Linked DNA regions of Macaca mulatta. The protein of the gene in region 1 interacts with the protein of each later gene in a pairwise test. Links are inferred from orthologs where the notes say so. Each region holds a gene or a part of one and is shown in the gene's direction. Other genes may lie near its edges. The genes, in order: ESR1, MED25, TRAM1 and PNRC2.

What was found.
Region 2: the proteins of ESR1 (region 1) and MED25 interact in a two-hybrid assay, tested with the Homo sapiens proteins (2 studies listed by BioGRID). The link is inferred for Macaca mulatta from reciprocal best matches to the Homo sapiens genes ESR1 and MED25.
Region 3: the proteins of ESR1 (region 1) and TRAM1 interact in a two-hybrid assay, tested with the Homo sapiens proteins (2 studies listed by BioGRID). The link is inferred for Macaca mulatta from reciprocal best matches to the Homo sapiens genes ESR1 and TRAM1.
Region 4: the proteins of ESR1 (region 1) and PNRC2 interact in a two-hybrid assay, tested with the Homo sapiens proteins (2 studies listed by BioGRID and IntAct). The link is inferred for Macaca mulatta from reciprocal best matches to the Homo sapiens genes ESR1 and PNRC2.

Annotation. Positions count from the first base shown.
Region 1 is NC_133409.1:70,390,725-70,395,828, forward strand, and holds the start of ESR1 (estrogen receptor), read left to right. Parts: upstream 1-2,104; 5' UTR 2,105-2,237; intron 2,238-5,104.
Region 2 is NC_133424.1:62,289,981-62,294,322, forward strand, and holds part of MED25 (mediator of RNA polymerase II transcription subunit 25), read left to right. Parts: intron 1-2,016; coding exon 2,017-2,115; intron 2,116-2,540; coding exon 2,541-2,661; intron 2,662-3,507; coding exon 3,508-3,670; intron 3,671-3,809; coding exon 3,810-3,940; intron 3,941-4,243; coding exon 4,244-4,331; intron 4,332-4,342. UniProt on the Homo sapiens protein: Component of the Mediator complex, a coactivator involved in the regulated transcription of nearly all RNA polymerase II-dependent genes.
Region 3 is NC_133413.1:81,247,708-81,252,502, reverse strand, and holds the start of TRAM1 (translocating chain-associated membrane protein 1), read left to right. Parts: upstream 1-1,650; 5' UTR 1,651-1,889; intron 1,890-4,768; exon of another isoform or gene 4,769-4,795. UniProt on the Homo sapiens protein: Involved in the translocation of nascent protein chains into or through the endoplasmic reticulum (ER) membrane by facilitating the proper chain positioning at the SEC61 channel.
Region 4 is NC_133406.1:217,017,347-217,022,330, reverse strand, and holds the start of PNRC2 (proline-rich nuclear receptor coactivator 2), read left to right. Parts: upstream 1-1,625; 5' UTR 1,626-1,796; intron 1,797-2,702; 5' UTR 2,703-2,908; intron 2,909-3,206; 5' UTR 3,207-3,224; coding exon 3,225-3,644; 3' UTR 3,645-4,984. UniProt on the Homo sapiens protein: Involved in nonsense-mediated mRNA decay (NMD) by acting as a bridge between the mRNA decapping complex and the NMD machinery. May act by targeting the NMD machinery to the P-body and recruiting the decapping machinery to aberrant mRNAs.

The DNA of each region.
Region 1 (5,104 bases):
TTGGAAAAATCTGCGAGAATTGTTTTGCATTAGTGTGTAGGTGTGTGTGTTGGGGTGGTGGCTGCAGCTTGGGGCAGAGGCCTCAGATGTGGCTGTGGAGTGATTGAATAGAGTTTTTGGAGTTTGGCTTTTGTCCCAGGACATTTGGTGTCTGTCCCCAGAGCTGCAGCCCAGAAGGTTGTCCTCAGAGGCGAAGTCCAGGCAGTGAGGAGCTGTCTGCCAGTAGGCAGTTGAAGAAAAAAAAAAATGACCTGGGGAAAAAAAAAAAAATCTTCCACTAATGCTGCCAGGCTGCAGGGAGCTGGAAATGAAGCACCAACAGGAGTGGGTATTTAATGGGGAAGGGAATGATCAACTGCAATTTTTTTGGTACCCAAGACTTTCCACCTTCACACACACACGAGATGCTTTGAAATAAAGATAGTCAAATGACTTAGTAAAGTTTGTTGACATAAAAATATGGGAAATACCAAAGAATATAGAAAGGAAAACTTCATTAATATTATTCAAACTTAAAATTCTAGATTGTATCAACAGTAAGGGGGTTGATGAAAACATGGGAGAAGGCCAAGGGATGTGAGATCGGGCTCAATTCTTGACTTGCTGGGGAAAGGTATCAACACAGAACTTTTAAGAATTAGAAGGCATTAAAAAGAAATAGAAATCCTGAATCAAATTGAAACAGTAAAATAAAATAGTAGAAAGATGTGTAAATGTATCACTATCACAATAACTATAAATAGGTTAAATTTGCCAGTTGAAAGAAAGGAACTATTAAATGAGATTTAAAAAATTTGGATATATGCTTTTCGTGTGAACATACCTAAAGCATATACACGTAACCAGAAAATTAAAAGATGGAAAAATCTGCAGAGAGTGACAAAGGAAAGCTGGTGCATTTGTATTAGTATCAGATAAAGCTCATGTTTAGATAAAAAACATTATAGTAATAGAGGAAGTCAAAAGGTTAAAGTTTCAATTCACCAAGAAATATCCATTCTAAACATGTATACATACCCAATTAAGCTGCCTCAAAATATATATGACAAAAATTTAGAGAATTGTAGAGTCAGATATAAGGATTGAAAAGGAAGAAATGAAACTAATTATTTTCAGATGATATATACATTTACATAAAAAACTCCAAAGAATCTTCAGATAAATTATTAGAAATTGTAGGAGAGCTCAGCAAGAAGGCAGGATATAAAATTAATATACAAAAGTCAATGTCATTTCACTATACCAGAAAAAAGACAATAACATTAGAAAATAAATCTAACATAAGATGTAGAAAAACTTATTAGAGGCAAAATTTTCTTGAGAAATATTAAAGAAGATCTAAATAAGTAGAATTACATCATATTCATGCATAAGAAGGCAACATTTTGAAGATGTCTTGTTATATATAGGCCTAGGAATAATATAGTTTTAAGTTATGTTATTTTGAACTGTAGGTGAAAGAAAGCTCTTTTTTTTCCTTTGAGTATTTTAAGATTTTGAATAAAGTCATAGTGCTCTAGGAAGGTTGTAATATTTTATACTTCGCCAGCAGTGTTTGAGAATGCTTACTTCCTACATTATAACCACCATAAATATTTAAAACCTGATAGCACACAGTTTTAAAAATTTGAAATTCTCCAATTAACAGTGACCTTTAAAAATTATGTTTACTGGTCTCCATTATTTTGTCCTTTGTAAATTTTTATTAGTTTTTCTGTTCACATGTTCCATTTTTAAAATAGACTTTTAAGAGCTGTTTGTATTAAGAATATTAAGGCTTTGTCCCTATAATTAGTATTTTTCAGAATATCCTTTCTAGGTACAGTTTTTCAGTTCTAGTGCACAGAATGGAAACTTGTTACCTGCTATACCACATTTTCACTAGGATGTGATGTATTTATCACAAACAACAGTATTGGTCAACATTTTCCCTCGCTGTGAAGTGCACATTTGACATCCTTTAGAAAAATTACTGACGGTTTTGAGACGATTGTTTTGTGCTTTCTTTCAGTCAACGTAATTTTCCCGAAAGCAGAGATGACTCTTCCAGACATGCTAACAATGCCTGAACAAACTGTGTAAGCTTAGTCCAAAAAAAATATTTGATTAATAGATTTTATTTTGGTAGATTCTAAGGTTCTAAGCAGTCAGAGAAATAATCGCAGAGCCTCAAATATCTCCAAAATCTGATACCAATCCCTTTGATTGTGAATTATATTCTGTAGCTACCAAAGAAGGTAAGTTTTAATTTTTTCTACTCTATTAACTTTCTCTTGGGCAACTGAATATTAAGATGACTATGTAAGGAGGTTATCAGACCAAGGCCTCACACATCAGGATAAAAGCACATGCCATAGAAAGAACATTTGTGTCTCACAAGGTGATACCAAGGCAAGGCTATGGGATATATATGGGCACAATGTTGATATCTTCAAAGACTTAATACATAGTCTGGAGGTTTTCAGAGATTTTAATTTATAATGACAATCTTTCAAATTAGGAGAATTTTTGGACTGTAAAGTTAGCCAAACAAGTCTTCAATGATAAAAAACGTCTATATCTTACACAGGGGGAATACATTTTTTGTTCGTTTTAATTTTTTCTCTGTCTATTCATACAGGGGCATCACATGTCTTTATCATTAAAAACTCTGATTTAGATAGACAGTTGTAGAGAAATTTAATGTGTGAGAATTTAAAGTTGTTTTATAAAGATGTAGCAAAATACAAATTTAAGACCCACAGCACCAATGAAAAAGGGAAATTAATTAAACTAGACAACTTTTATGGGTACTACCCATTAAAATTAAAATTTTAGTCATTGTAAATTATATTACATTGTAACAGTTTTCAATCTGTTGTCAAGTTGAATATTTTGGTTGACAATTGTATTTCACAGTTGTTCACACTTTGCATAATTTTCTAAGGAAAATGAGTCCCTTGGGGAGAAAATTGTTCTAAAATTTTGTTGTTGGATAATGTTGCTGCACTAACATGATTTGCTGAAGTGGATCTACCATGTGTGTTTAGGTTTTTGTTCTTTACGAAATGTGTTGGGTGAAATTTTCCATAACACTGGTGAACTTTTCATGCTAATTTTCCAGTCCGTCAGTTTAAATATTATGCATTTTTTCCTGCGAATCTATCTTGAATCTGAAAAGGCCCCAGAAGGAATTAGCATGAGTCCAGAGTAGATGGACTGCAAATGTTACTCATATTTCAACATGTATCCAGCTTTCAGAAATAGCTTACTGAAATCAAGGTTGAACCACATGAAATTTTGGGGTTTTTTTGGATGTAAAAAAGGTTAAATATTGACATTTTCATATCATCCAATCTAATATCTTCCTCTAGTGAGGTTCTGGCAAAAAAAAAAAAAAAAAAAAAGTATGATGACCCAAGTTGTTCACTCTTTTAAGCTTTATATTTCAAAATATTTTTAAAATTTAAAGCCATATAAGTGCATCCCAAAAAACATGGGAAAATTTTGTAGGCTACTTTTGTTTACTGATTTTTCTTCTATAGATTTATTTTTATGCTATGCCTGACTCTCCAATTAGATTTTAGTCATCCAGGAAAGTACAATTGCTTGTACTTCTAAGCAATTCTCCCATCACCTGGACATTAACTGCAGCCCACACTGCAGTGTCTTGACTGCAGTAGGCACTCAGTAAATATTTATTGATGGTCCTGATTATGGGATGATGAAATATGCTAAAGGTAACTTAAACTTTTGTCAATAAAACTGAGTTTCAGGTTAGTTTGACCTTTTCCGTATCTCTAAATATTTTCTTTCATGTCATTTTTGTGAAATAGCTCACAAAAGTACTTATTGATTCTGAAATCCTTTTCCCCTCTGGTATTCCTGAGCTATTCTCACACACAGCACACCAGTGCCACCGTTTGCTGTTTTGGTTAAAATCATTCTCATTAATATTCCTCATTCAGTAAAAATAGTTGATTCTCAGTTATAAATATACACTTCATATTGGCAATGTGGGATGGAAAACAAAATGATGATATTGACTCCATAAGATAAACAGCAGTCTTTAGAATAGAGTTTGGTGCATAACTGTTCTAAATGTATCAAAGTTATCTCATTTAATCCTCCCACACACCTGTGGGAAGAGAGTATTTGTCTTGCTTTACAGATAAGGAAGCTGAGGCTTAGAAGATTCATATGTCTAACTAAGATCACAGAGCTGGTAAATCAGCCAAGTTTGAGTCTAAATCCAGGTTTTAAATATCATATTACATGTAGGCATAGATAAGCAAGAACAGGTTTTCCTGAAGATGGCCAGGCTAAGGCTTAGAAGAAGGAAGCTCAAGGAGACTAAACCAAGATATGCTAAGGCAAGTTTTTTTGTTTGCTTGTTTGTTTTTGAGACCGAGTTTCGATCTTGTTGCCCAGGCTGGAGTGCTGTAGCATGATGTTGGCTCACCACAACCTCCGCCTCCTGGGTTCAAGTGATTCTCCTGCCTCAGCCTCCCGAGTAGCTGGGATTATAGGCATGCACCACCATGCCCAGCTAATTTTGTATTTTTAGTAGAAACGGTGTTTCACTATGTTGGCCAGGCTGGTGTCGAACTCCTGACCTCAGCTGATCCGCCCACCTCAGCCTCCCAAAGTGCTGGGATTACAGGCATGAGCCACTGCGCCTGGCCTGCTAAGGTAAGTATTAACCATTAGAGATGACTAGTCCCAGTGACAGGTCTTTCCTACTGGGAGTCAGCCAAGAGCTCCCCACTTTTCTGGTTCCGTTGTTCCTCCTGCAAAGTTCCATTCATAAAGTGGTTTCCCATTTGATTGTCCAATGATGCAAATCTCCAGTCCTTTATAGCATTGAGTTTCTCATGGCCTTTTACCGTTGAGTTTCTCATGGCTAATGAATGCTAATGAATTGGTGTTCCCATTTATCTATAGGATTCCATGAGTCAGCCTCTAAAAGAAGGTTCCACTCCCTCACTGTGGGTACCGTCTGGGAATTAGACCCTTAATAGGAGTAATTCACCAAGCAATGTCTTCTGTAATAACGCTCCAGTCTCACTGAGAGCTTTCTATTCAAAACAACAATCTAAAGGTCTACAGTGTGACTTTCAACTAA
Region 2 (4,342 bases), on another chromosome or scaffold:
CATCCTTGGCCTCTACTCACTAGATACCAGTAGCCCCCTCCCAAAGATGTGACAACCAAAAATGTCTCCAGGCATTATAAAATATGCCCTGCCACATGGCCCTGCCAGGCCTCCAGTGCGCTGAGTACTCAGCAGACGGTTCCTAGGCCTTGTGTGACCTGGGGCTCAGACACCTTGGTGTCTCTCATGGAGGACTGCACATGGTGTGGAGAGAAGCTTGACAGCTGCAGTATCAGGTGATCTATGATGTGATTAAGGGCAGGCCCTAAAATTAGGTGGCACGTAGGGAAGGCTTCCTGCAGGAGGGCACACCAGGATGGGTGTCGTAGCTTCACTGGATTCCATCTGGGCTGGAATGGGTGTGTTCCAGCACATGCAGAGACCTGGATGTCTGGGCTTCATCAGTCAAGAGGACCTATAGGCGCGGGCATGGAGCAGGAGAGCAGGGTGCAGGACTCAAAGGCCTCGGATGCCAGGCCAAGGGCCTGGGTTGGTTCCAGCCTTGATGAACAGGGTTGGGCTTGTAGCCATTTGTTCATTTAGCTTACATTTCCTGAGGCCTCCCGTGTGCCCCACTGTGGTGGGCAAGCCTGGGGGTGAGAGAGGACTCAGACCCCATCCCGGCCTTGGGGGAGGTAGGGTCAGAGACCACATTTCAGAGGGACAGGGCCCTCAAGACCCTCAGAGGGGCGCTCAGTCTCCACACACGTCCCCTGCAGCAAAGATCAGCCTCTTACAACTATGTGACTGGAAGAATGGTGGCAACCACAGCTGCCCTTGAGGAGAGGCCATCCCCAGGCCACAACCCATGTGGGACAGATGCTGCGACGCAACTGCAGATCAGGCGGAGGAGAAACGAGAGTCTGTATGTGTTAGTTTCCCAGGCTGCTGTAGCAAAGTATGAGAAACTGGCCAGAAGAATGGAAATCGATGTCTCAGGGTCTTGGAGGCTGGAAGTCCAAAATCCAGGTGGTAGGGCCAGGCTGTCTCTGAAACCTTATAGGGGAAGGGCCCTTCTGCCTCTCCCGGCGCCTGGTGCGCCCAGACCTTCCTGGCTGAGGCTGCATCACCCATCCTCACGTGGCCTCTCCCTGTGTCTCTGTGTCCCTGTGTCTTCCCTCTGTATGTGTGTCCGTGTCCACGTTTCTGCTTTTCACAGACACCAGCCATAGTGGATTAGGGTCTGCAATTTAACTCGATTACCTGTGTAAAGATCTTTCCAAATCAGGTCACCTTCTGAGGTACTGGGACTTAGGACCTCAACTTGTCTTTTTGAGGGGGGCACACTTCAGCCCATAAGACTGGGAGGACAGAGGAGGCCCCCATCTCTGGCCGGGAAGGTGAAGTGGGGCCAGGACTGATTTGGAGCAGACAGCCCAGAGAGGGAAGGGGACAGCAGGAGGCTGGGCAGGGAGTCAGTCACTCCAGGGTTGGAGTCAGCACAGGATCCTAGGCTTGGGGTTCCCAGCCCTTTCCCATTCCCTCCCAGTCCTCATGATTAAGACAATAAATGTCGGCTGGGCGCGGTGGCTCACGTTTGTAATCCCAGCACTTTGGGAGGCCGAGGCGGGTGGATCATGAGGTCAGGAGACCGAGACCATCTTGGCGAACACGGTGAAACCCTGTCGCTACTAAAAACACAAAAAATTTGCTGGGCGTGGTGGCAGGCACCTGTAGTTCCAGCTACTCAGGAGGCTGAGGCAGGAGAATGGCATGAACCTGGGAGGTGGAGCTTGCAGTGAGCCGAGATTGCGCCACTGCACTCCAGCCTGGGTGACAGAGCAAGACTCCATCTCAAAAAAACAAAAAAACGCACACAACAAGTGTCCCCTGTCCTGTCTGGTACTGATGCTGTGCTAGCACCAGGGATCGGGTAGGGAACTCAGCGGTGTCCCTGTCATCCCAAGGTGCATACTCCAGGATAGGGTGGGGGACAGCATGGGAGCAGGCTTTTCAAGCATGGCCTGGGGGCAGGGATGATGGCAACCCTGGGGGCTGACTGCTCTGCCCCTACAGGTTCATGGGTGGGGGTGGCGAGAGCTGCAGCCTCATCGCGGAAGGACTCAGCACAGCCTTGCAGCTGTTTGATGACTTCAAGAAGATGCGTGAGCAGATGTGAGTGCCCCGTCTGCCCAGGCTGGGTCAGTCTCTCTCTGCCTGGCCCGGAACCACTTTGCCTGTCGAGTGGCTCTACCTCTAGCCTCACCCTGTAGGGCATGGGCTCTGTGTCCCCAAGCACGCTGAGCCAGGAGGCTGCAGGTTTGTTCTTGGGGGAGGTCTGGGCAGTGCCTGGTCTCAGCGTCCCCATCAGGAAGCAGTGCCAACTGTGGGTGTCACTCCTGCGTGCTCTGCCTGCTGGGTGACGGAGAGCACATTCCAGAACCTCTCAGGGCCTCAGTGTTGTCAGCTGTAATAAATTATGGGCGTTGCTTCTGATTCCATATGAGGCTGAATATGTGCGCCTCCACTGGTGCTGGGTCTGGGTTCCATCTCAGGGCCCCTGTTGCTGCCGGCTCCATGTCTTCTCTCATTCCTGGTAGTGGCCAGACGCACCGGGTCTGCCTCCTCATCTGCAACTCGCCTCCATACCTGTTGCCTGCTGTTGAGAGCACCACGTACTCTGGATGCACAACTGAGAATCTCGTGCAGCAGATTGGGGAGGTGAAGACTCCAGGGTCTGAGGGAGGAGGGTCTGGGGGCCAGGATTCTTGGGTTTGAGGCAGGAGGCACTGAGGGCCTGGACTCCTGGGTCTGAGGGAGGAGGCACTGGGGGCCTGGACTCCTGGGTCTGAGGGAGGAGGCACTGCGGGCCTGGACTCCTGGGTCTGAGGGAGGAGGCACTGGGGGCCTGGACTCTTGGGTCTGAGGGAGGAGGCACTGGGGGCCTGGACTCTTGGGTCTGAGGGAGGAGGCACTGGGGTCTGGACTCTTGGGTCTGAGAGAGGAGGCACTGGGGGCCTGGACTCAGTCACAGAATAGTCACAGACTGGCGACCAGCTTTGCTTACTCTCTTTTTTTGAAACAGAGTCTGGCTCTGTTACCCAGGCTGGAGTGCAGTGGTGTGATCTTGGCTTACTGCAGCCTCTGCCTCCTGGGTTCAAGCAATTCTCGTGTTTCAGCCTCCCGAGTAGCTGGGATTATAGACGCCCGCCATCACGCCCAGCTAATTTTTGTATCTTTAGTAGAGACGAGGTTTCACCATGTTGGCCAGGCTGCTTTCGAACTCCTGGCCTCACGTGATCTGCCTGACTCGGTCTCACAAAATCCTGGGATTACAGACGTGAGCCTCCACACCTAGCCCACTTAGTCTTACTGACAAAACCAGAACGTAGAGTCTCCCGGGGCAGGCAATACCAGGTTTCAGGGTCTCCTGCCTCAAAGCCCAGTGGGAATTGTGGTTGTAGGACTGGTGCTGTCCAGCCACACAGCAGCTGTGGTAGGTTGGGCGCTGGCCCCAACACCCCTATGGAGGGGGCCCGTCATGACTGCTGGGTCCCTCTCCTATAGCGGGGGATCCACTTCTCCATCGTCTCTCCCCGGAAGCTGCCTGCACTTCGGCTTCTGTTTGAGAAGGCAGCCCCCCCGGCCTTGCTAGAGCCGCTGCAGCCTCCGACAGATGTGAGCCAGGACCCAAGGCACATGGTGCTGGTTCGGGGGCTCGTGCTGCCCGGTGAGGCCTGGGCACCGCGCGCGGGGATCGGGGGCTCAACGTGTTTCCCAGCTCCCTCTGACTTGGATTTTGGATTTCTCTCCCCTTTCTCCATCTTGAATCCCTTCTTTCCGGGGTTGGCCATCCCTCCTGCTCTCAGTTGGGGGTGGCTCTGCCCCAGGCCCCCTCCAGCCAAAGCAGCCAGTCCCCCTGCCTCCTGCCGCACCCTCCGGTGCCACTCTCTCAGCAGCTCCCCAGCAGCCTCTGCCCCCCGTCCCCCCGCAGTACCAGGTATGGATGTTTCCAGGAAGGGACATGCTTCTGGGGACTTGCTGGAGCCCTGGCCCCTGGGGAGAGATCTAGTTGCATGTTGGAGCTTGTGGGATGATGGGAGTCCCATGGGACATTGGGAGGGTGGGACTCCTGGGGCCATGGAAGCTCATCTGCTAGGTGATGGGTGTCGTGAGCTTCTGAGCTCTCCCAGCTGGGGCAGCTGTGCCTTGTGGGGCCGTGGGTGGTGTGACCTCGTGGGACACCAGGATTGGAGGGCCATGGTCCTCACCAGTCCCTTTCCTTCTTCCCTTCTACCCACAGGTTCCTGGGAACCTGAGTGCAGCTCAGGTGGCCGCCCAGAATGCAGTGGAGGCCGCCAAGAACCAGAAGGCTGGGCTGGGCCCTCGCTGTGAGTCCTGG
Region 3 (4,795 bases), on another chromosome or scaffold:
CTTGATCATACAAGTAATAAGTGGCAGAATTCTGATTTAACAAGCCACATTCTTAAACCACTAAGTGGTTACACCAGAGTTGTAATATTGTAGGCAAGAGGCAAGTCCCCTCGGACTGTGGTAGTGGAGAAGCGGGGTGATAGGACTGCCCCGGGTTGGTGATGACCGGATGCGGAAGGGCCCTGAAAGGGCTCAATCTAGCATGACTTTGGTTTCTACATTTGGCTCATGGGTAAACAGGAGAGCAATTCTTCAGGAAAAAGAATACAAAGGACTCCTGGTTTGGGCAAAACGATAAGAGGAGGACGTGCCTTTTCCACGATCCTTTTCAACTTTTTGATTACTAAAACATGTTGTTAATTTAAATATACGTGAAGCCAGTAAACCCAAACTGATCCCTTCGTCTTCAGTCTGAGGCCAGTGGGGGATGGGGGTAGGGATGGGGACGGTGACGGGGACAGGGATGGGGGTGGGGATGGACAGGCAGACCAGAATAGGGTCAGCTTTTTTTTAAAGTTAGTCCAAACTTACAAAGGGTAGAAATAAGTCCCCGGGAGTGCTTAACTCTAAGGTTAATTTTTTAAGGCAGACGCTAAAACTGGAGAATACACCGTACCCCTGTGGAGTCAGGTAGTATTTGTAGTTTTATATTATCCTGACGGTGGCAGTCACTTGTAGAAGTGGCAGTGTGCAACAGGCCACTGACACCCAATCCCTGGGTGGCCAGGAGGGCGGGAGAGCACCCGGTCGCTGTCTCAGGCTGCTGAGCAGGCGGAGGAAGCTCGCGCCTCAAACGACTCCCAAACCCGGGCCCGGTGCGTAGCAGGGGCGCGCCGCTCACTTTCCAGCAAACTCGCCCGGCCGCGAGCCAGCGGCCTCCGGTCCCCAGGTGGCGCTGTGGCCTCGCGGAGGAGGCCGCGGCACTAGCGAGCGTCATCTCCCTGGTGCGCATGCTCGCCGCCGCTGCGGGCTGGCTGTTTTTTTTGTTTGTTTTTTTTTTTTTCTTTTTTTTTTTTCCTCCCGGGCGGCCCGGCGGCTGCGTACTGGCTGTGGGATGGGAAGTGAAGCCCCAGCGAGCGGCTGCAGCGGGGCCGTGAGGAGCAGCCAGGGGGAGGCGGCGGCGGCGGCGAGTCGGTGAGCAGCTGGGAAGAGCAGAGCCGGGGTGGAGCACCTGCAGGCGCGGGCGGCGGCCCCACCATGGCGATTCGCAAGAAGAGCACCAAGAGCCCCCCGGTGCTGAGCCACGAATTCGTCCTGCAGAATCACGCGGACATCGTCTCCTGTGTGGCGATGGTCTTCCTGCTGGGGCTCATGTTTGAGGTGAGCCCGCCCCGAGCCCCAACCGCCTGCCCCGCCACCCCCTGCCCAGGCCCGGGCTCCAGCTGCCAGCCCCGGCTTCTCCGCCCAGGACCGCGGGGGGCTCGGGTCCGGGGTAGGTGCGGACCCCCCAGTCCCCGAGGTGCAGGCCTGCCATGTCCCGCCCCACGCCGGCGGCAGCTCCCCAGCGGCCGGCCCGGGGATGCAAAGTCCCGGTGGGCCTCATCGCGGCCCGCAGGGGGGTGGGGACGGCCGCGTCGCCCCCTTCCTGACCCGCCGCCGCCCCCTCCCTCCGGCTGCGCGGCGCAGTTCCTGGTTCCCGCGAAGGGTTACGTGGCAGCCGGCGAGGGGCCGGCGGGCGGGCGGGCGGGCGGGCGGGGGCGGCCCCTGCGCTGCCGAGCTGGCTCGGGGCGGGTGGGCGGACTTGGGGGTACTGCCAGCATCTGCCGCTGAAGCGTCAGCCCCGCGAGGGCCGAGGAAGGCGGAAGCCCGGCCCCAGGGTCTGAGGAGTGCCGGCCTGGAGGCCACAGGCCCGAGTGACAGGGGGGCCCCCCGGTAGCTCCGAGATTGGGGTGAGCGAGAAACTGGAGTCGGGCATCTGCTTTCGACTTGAAGGGCGGTGGCCGCCGGGCACCGGCACGGTGGAGGCACGCCGGATTGTTTTAATTTCTGTCTTTTCAACTGGTATTATTACCAGTTAACGAACTTTTTGCCCTGATGCTTTAAAGAAACAAGGTCTGATGGATAAATCGAGGTTCTGAACTGCGGTGCCAAGGAGTCGAGTAATTTTGTTTCTTGAAGTAGGAGAGGATAGGAATGTCAGGAGTGTGTAAATTCTCTTCCCACGTATCTAGTATTTTGATGGCTTATTTAACAGCTGTTGAATGTGGATGATAAACTTTGCAAGGTGAACGAGTAACATCCTACGTTTTTCCCCTCGCTTGTCAATACACGCGCTCATTCCTTTGCTTTTTCCCCTTAATTTTTCTCTGGAGCCCTTATGTCTCAGTAAATATACAAATTATTTTGCTCCTGCCTTGTTTTGTCTCCTCTCTCCTGCATGTAACAAGTGAGAGTAGAGATTTTGGAGTATTTTTAAGAGTCTGTATTTCCAGAGTCTAGGATAGTGCCTGGGATATAGGAGTGCTTAAAAAAATATGAGCGACATTAAGAATCCTTGAGAAAACCTAATGCAGTGACATTACCAGTGACCAAAATGTGAATACATTTTTTTTCATGGAGCCTTTTTTTTTTAAATTTTAAAATTAAATAATATTTTAACCTTATTTTCGCCTCTCATCAAATGGGCTTTTCTGGATCTAGATACAGATATCATTTACTCCTGATGGTGTCGTGCATGTTTGAAACCACTGCTAAGGATGTAGCGGGTATAGTAAAGGGTAGGTAGAAGGGAACTAACATTCTCAAGCTTTAAGTCTGGGCTGTGCCACCTACTTCCTGGGTGCCCCAAGTCTGAGTCTCAATTTTTCTGCTCTTTATAAGGAAATAATATCACCTGTACTGTTCTCCTCACAGCCATTTTTTGCAAGGTTCAGATAATATGGTGTGAAGGTAAATACAGTGCTAGGCCTGGTGCGCTGGCTCACGCCTGTAAGTCCCAACACTTTGGGAGGCCAAGGTGGGAGAATCACTGGAGTACAGGAGTTCGAGACCAGCCTAGGCAACATAGGGAGAGCTTGTCTCTACAAATGATTTTTAAAAAATTAGCCAGGAGTGATAGCACGCACCTGTGGTGGCAACTGGGAGGCTGAGGTGGGATAGTTACTTGAGCCCAGGAGGTGCAGGCTGTAGTGAGCCAAGGTTTCACCACTGCATTCCAGCCTGAAGGACAGAGCAAGACCCTGTCTCCAAAAAAAAAACAAAACAAAAAAAAAACCCAACGCTAAACATTTGTATTCACTTTCTGAATTTGATACTTATATATACTTTCTACTTTGATCTTAAAGTGATACTTTAATATATGTAGTATATTCAATTTTATGTAACTTGTCATAAACCATCTCCACATGTTAAGATTTCCTGACTTTAAAAACATATTTTAGGGGTACCATGACCTGCAAGGTACATTTGCAGTGCTTTGAATGAAATGAAATATAAATCAGAAATTCTGACACATAGTATAACTTTAATTTTATATAAACTATTTTCCATTCTCTTACTATATTTCTAGGGAAGTCCACCACCTATACCTTGCCTCACATGTTAGTGATTTTTTTTTAACAGTGGATTTTCACCTTTATATAAATTTGTAAAATTTGAAAATCTAAACAGACAAAAATACTAGAGGTTTTTTAAGTCAATTCAAAAGTGAGCATTAAAGTGATACACAAAAGTGAAGTTTCTGCGAGTTGTTCCTTTTTCTTACCATATGTTAAGGTGTTAGGATTTCAAAGCATGTTATCTATATATAGGAATGTGTAGACTAGGTTAGTTTTGCTATTCGACTTTTAAAACAATTGCTGCTGAATCTCAAAATTAACGTAATTATAGAATTACAGTACTTGTGCTAGAATAATAGAGAAATTGATTTTTTTTTTTGCAGAACTGTTAAGCCTGTTGTGCAGATACATTAAGGAAATGTCAGAGGATTTATGGTGAAATCGACAAAGAAATTAACAAAGAAAGAAATACTGTATTACTAGCCAAAATGAAGAAGCAATGCAGATACACTGTAAAAGCATGGATTCTGGAGCTGAAGGGATTCATGTTCAAGTTAGGGCTCTGCAGCTTGCTAACTGGTTGACCTAAGGCAGCTCAGAACTGAAGTTTCCTCATCTGCAAAATGGGGCTTATTGGGTTAGTCTGATAATTAAATTAACCAATATGTATTAAGCCTAGTTCAATGCTTGGCTTGCAAGAGGCATGCAATAAGTGGTAGCTATTATTATTCTTTAAAAACTCACCAAAATTGGGAAGTAGAAAACATTTTTATGTGAGAGAAGGGCCTGGAATCTCTTTAGTTAGCATCTAAAGAGATTATACATACTGAAAAGGCTAACAAAGTAGTCTGTTTGGTGGTAATGTAAGAGTTTAATTTCCAGGGAACTTCACATTAATCAAAAATGGCGTGTAAATTTTAGAATCATAGTTTTATTACAGTCAGTATCTGTCCACATAATTCAAATTATAGTATACAATGAATGGCTTCATATTTGAGTTAGGAAAAATTGAATGGTCAAAAAATGTTAGGGATGCTTGGGAAGCTTTCTGAAAGTGAGGATGTGGAGGAGGGGTGAAAAATTAGGGGTTCACAAGAGACGTATTTCTTTTAAGGAGCGTATAAAGGAAATATATTCAAAAGGAAAGATATTCAAAATCTGCAAGTTCTTTATGCCATACAGATTTTGGGGATGTTTACAGTTTCAGCCATCTTGAAACAGTTTTCGAGGTTTGGGGGATTTTTTTCTTTTTCTTTCCTTTTTTTCTTTCTTTTCATGTCAGGTAAGGTTTTCAGGTC
Region 4 (4,984 bases), on another chromosome or scaffold:
TTATTTGACTATGATTAGCATCAGAAAGTCCCTATGCTCAAAAATACCTCTTTTATCAAACTAGATTAACAAACTGCATCTCTTAAGATGCAGTAACTTTCCTTAAGATCCAATGGCTAGAATATAGGAATTTGGGTTGGATTGGGAAGTGGGGGATGACGGTGGCAAAAAATTGAAGATTAAAAAACGAAATACAGGCCGGGTGTGGTGGCTCACGCCTGTAATCCCAGCACTTTGAGTGGCTGAGGCGGGCGGATCACGTGAGGTAAGGAGTTCGAGACCAGCCTGGCCAACATGGTGAACTCCTGTCTCTACTAAAAATACAAAAATTAGCAGGGTGTGTTGGCGGGCGCCTGTAATCCCTGCTACTCAGGAGGCTGAGGCAGGAGAATCGCTTGAGCCCAGGAGGCGCAGGTTGCAGTGAGCCGAGATTGTGCCACTGCACTCCAGCCTGGGCGACAGTGCGAGACTCCGTTTCAAAAATAAACGACAAATTACATGAGATTTATAAGAAGTTGGTAAATACAAATTATTTAATGTAAACTTACGTATGTATGTATCCATGTGTATACACGAACAAACTGGGAATGTAATGAGACTTGATTTTGTACCGTTTATCCCAGAATTATTCACGCTCATTGAAATTAGTGTTCTCTTTTAAAAGATTCACACTGGGTTGCTCACACACGTACTCCAAAGAAATTGCCATTTTCCCCTTACCTGCATCTGGCTGGCATAATCAACTAAACAATATTCTCTTTCTTTCCTTTTTTTCACTTACAAGTGGGGCAAAAAGGGGAAGGGAGCAGCCCTCATTCTCTCAGCAAACTTACTGTGCACTTACCACGCGCGAAGGCGCTGCGGTCAGAGAAACAAAACCTAACCGGTTGTGGCCCTCGAGGGTGTGTGGGTGGGGAGAGCTGCTGCCACAGGAAACTGTAACACGGCGCGTTAAGGGCTCTAACTGAACTTAAGGGCCAATGGGGCCACCAAGCAGGAAGTGACTGACTTGCCCGCGTGTGTCTGAACCGCCTTCACACGGAGGCAACTTTTGAGTAACTGCGGGGCTGGAGGGTGGGGGGCACCGGAGGGAACCGCAGGGACGCGCCGACTTCGGATGCGGAGTTGTGAATGTGGGAGAGAGGCGACCCAGAAGTCGAGGCCCGAGGCGGGCGGGGGCTGGGCCCTGGCAAGCGGCTTTCTGGAGTATCCTCCATCTGTCAATACAGGCTACGCGACTCAGTGGCCCTAATTCGAGAGCCAAACGTCCCCCGCCGGTCAGTCTTTTCCCTCAGGGCAGTCCCAAGGGCAGCGAGCCCGCGCGCACGAGCCGAGCGGGAGGAAGAGCCGAGAGCTAGCGGCCGGGGCCTTGGGGGGCCAGGGGCGCGGGGAGGCCGCGGTGGTAAGGCCGTGAACACCGGCGGACCGGGCAGTTACTCCCGGCATGCTCCTCCTCCCCGGGCGGATTTCAAACCCTCGGCAGCCCCACCTCCCCGCCTTCGCCCCCGGCCTGCCCCAGCAACAGGCGGCGGCCCGCTTCTCATTGGCCAGGCCTGCGCTGTCGTGTTTTGATTGGCCGCGGAGCCGCCCGGCCCTGCTTCTGCGGTCGCCGCCGACTCCATTTTGTCGGTAGAGGCAGAAGGAGGAGGTTGGGTTGTAGAAGCTAGGGTGACCGGCAGCTCGCTCATCGGTGTTCGTGGGCTTTGTCGGTCCGTGCCTCGTCTCTCCCTGGAAAGGGAGGGAGGCTTCGACGTCGAGAGGGAGCCACTGCCGCCGTAGTTCCGAGCTTGAAGTCGGTAAGTAGCGGCTGTGCAGCGGGCGCGGCCATGTTGGTGGCTGCGCTCCCCATTGTTGGGGGAAGGAGGCGAGCGGAGGCGAGATCCGGGCGGGCGCGGGCGGTCGCAGCGCCCCGACCCCTGCGGCTCCGGAGAGATGGGGCCACTGGGAAGCCAAGCCTGTGTGGCGTCGGAGGCGGCGAGTTTTCCGAGTTCGAGTTGTGAATGACTCACAGTCCGGAAATGGCAATTTATTTAGGGTGGTTTATCTGTTTGGAAGGCTCTCTTACCCCTTTGAAAGGAGGGGGCTTAACTATTTGGTAACTTATTTTCTTGGAACATCAAATTAAAACCAAACCTTGAATGTTGAGCTGTTCCCTCTAGGGAGACATTTTTATAGATTTAAGATGGGCTTAGAGTGTTAGGGCTTGTGAGAACTTATTTTAAGACGGGGAGGAGGCGAGGGTGTTCACAACCAAAGGAAACACTGCGTGATGTCTACATGTTCCAAGAGACTGAAAATGGATGTGACGTGTGTGGAAAGATTGGAAAATTCTGGTGGGAGTTTAAAAACACGGTCTCTTTTGAAAATCCGCCTGAAGCCAATTTTTTGATGACTCTTAACATTTTAACACTCGTTATTTGATTTTATACGTGAGAGAATCTGAAGATCTTTCCCAGGAAAAAGATAAAAACAAAACTTACTGCGGGACTTCGAGACATTTCCAAAAATTCCCCAGGAGTGACTGGGTCTCAAGGGTGAAGAGTTTTTAAATGATCGTGGTTATGAGGTCAAAGCCATCTTAAATTTTCTACCTTTTAGTTCAGGAAGTAGCCTTCTTTACAGTCAACGATTTTTGTAGTAAATCTAAATGATCACTTTCTCAACGTGTTTTTGAAATAATGAAGTAATCTTTACTTTTCTAGCTAGGACTTCTCTCAAACTTGTGTGCTGAGGAGACTCAGATGTTGGCCTCAGCTCCTAGGCTGAACTCAGCAGATCGGCCCATGAAAACTTCTGTATTGAGACAAAGGAAAGGATCTGTCAGAAAGCAACACTTGTTATCTTGGGCTTGGCAGCAAGGAAGAGGACAGGTAGTGGAGATCCTGCAATCTGAAAAGCAGACTGAAAGGTAATCATCATAATGGGCAAACATTTTATGATGGAGCCATCCTAAACCAATTGTTTTTATTTTAAAATAGATTATGCTGATTTGTGGGTAAGCTCATTTTTCTTAGAGACGGTATAATAATAAAGGTTGTGCATATATTGGAGTCTAAACAGCTTGCTTTTTTAATTTAAAGCAGCTGAATAGCCTATTACTGAGTCTTGTTCAAAATATCTGGAGTTATAAGTTGGAGCCATAGAAGCTTTTTACAGATTTGAACTTAATGGAATTTTACTCAATATTTGTTTCCATTCACTTGTAGGTGACAAAGAAGCTGAAGATGGGTGGTGGAGAGCGGTATAACATTCCAGCCCCTCAATCTAGAAATGTTAGTAAGAACCAACAACAGCTTAACAGACAGAAGACCAAGGATCAGAATTCCCAGATGAAGATTGTTCATAAGAAAAAAGAAAGAGGACATGGTTATAACTCATCAGCAGCTGCTTGGCAGGCTATGCAAAGTGGGGGGAAGAACAAAAATTTTCCAAATAATCAGAGTTGGAATTCTAGCTTATCAGGTCCCAGCTTACTTTTTAAATCTCAAGCTAATCAGAACTATGCTGGTGCCAAATTTAGTGAGCCACCATCACCAAGTGTTCTTCCCAAACCACCAAGCCACTGGGTCCCTGTTTCCTTTAATCCTTCAGATAAGGAAATAATGACATTTCAACTTAAAACCTTACTTAAAGTACAGGTATAAAGTAAGACAAATGTTAAAATTATGTTCGCGGGTAGTTGTCAATTGGTCTGAAACATTCGCTAAGGAATTAATCTATTTGTGTAGAACTGCTAATTAATGTAAAAAAAATAGACGATCTTGTGTGCACTGTGATACAATGGTAGTATCAGTGCAACTTAAACTAATGGTATTTGATATTAAGTGTTCTCAACTGAGTAACTTTTAAGTGGAAACCAAGTTTAGATTTGGGGAGTGGTAAAGGAATCAGCTTTTTCTATTGTTAGGGGAAGATAGTAATTTATCATTCATGGAGTAGATTGTTGAAAGTTGGTGAATCAGATTATAAGCTTCAAGCTAACACAAGGATTCAGAATTAGGTAAACATCTGAAAGTTTAGTATATTAGAAACACCCAAACCAGTAATATGCTAACAACCTGATGCACTGCTGAAAGAAAATGTGAATTTTTTGTAATAATTGCATTTTAGTGAATTGTACAGTGGGTGGAAAGGGCATTTGGAGCTCATTAGAATGAGACATAGTACATCCCAATGGCCCTGTTTATTAAATATAGTGGATTAAGTGTCAACAAATACACCAAAACCATTTTTTATAGAAACAGTATTTAATGGTCACTCAATAGCTTTCAAAATACATTTTTGTATTACAGCACTGCACAAGCTATTCTAATAGTGATCTGGCCTCATCATTCCTGCAAAGCTTGCTTTGGGGAGTTGGATAATGTGAAAATTTTAAGTACCTAGGGGAGAAAGAGCCATGTACATATCTGTAATAAACTTGTAGCATATGTAAAGTTTTATTGGCCTTTATCTTACAAAAATGGAATATTTTAGTATGAATTTGCTGAATGTAAGACCGTGGACTGTTTTTTATAGTATGGCCTAATTTTAAAGGTCCAAAATAATTTGTTTTTAAAGTTTGCCCTTGTGCTAAAGTGCCAGTGTACGTATGTTATACTTGATTGTAAACTACATTTCAAAGTAAATCCGAGTGTAGTAAGTTTTATAACTAAAAAGGTTTAAGCTGCTAAAACTATTTTTAAGAGATGTGAAATGCAGTATGGGACTATTTTTTTTTTCCTCCTCTAAGCCCAAAGATTAACTGGAGTCCCTCCAACCTTACAGATTTTTGGGTTTCACAATCTTATAAACAGGTAGTTTTGAGTATGGTGCCAATGATGTTTGGTTTTTGTTTGGTCAAGGGTAGGTGCAACCCAACGGACCATTTATGCAAAAGATGTAAACTCTTGCATAATACATTGATAACATGTTTTGCCAACCTTAAGAGTAAATGCTTAAACATAAGTGAAACCAGTAGAAGGTATGTGGGTCAGTTTAAAAA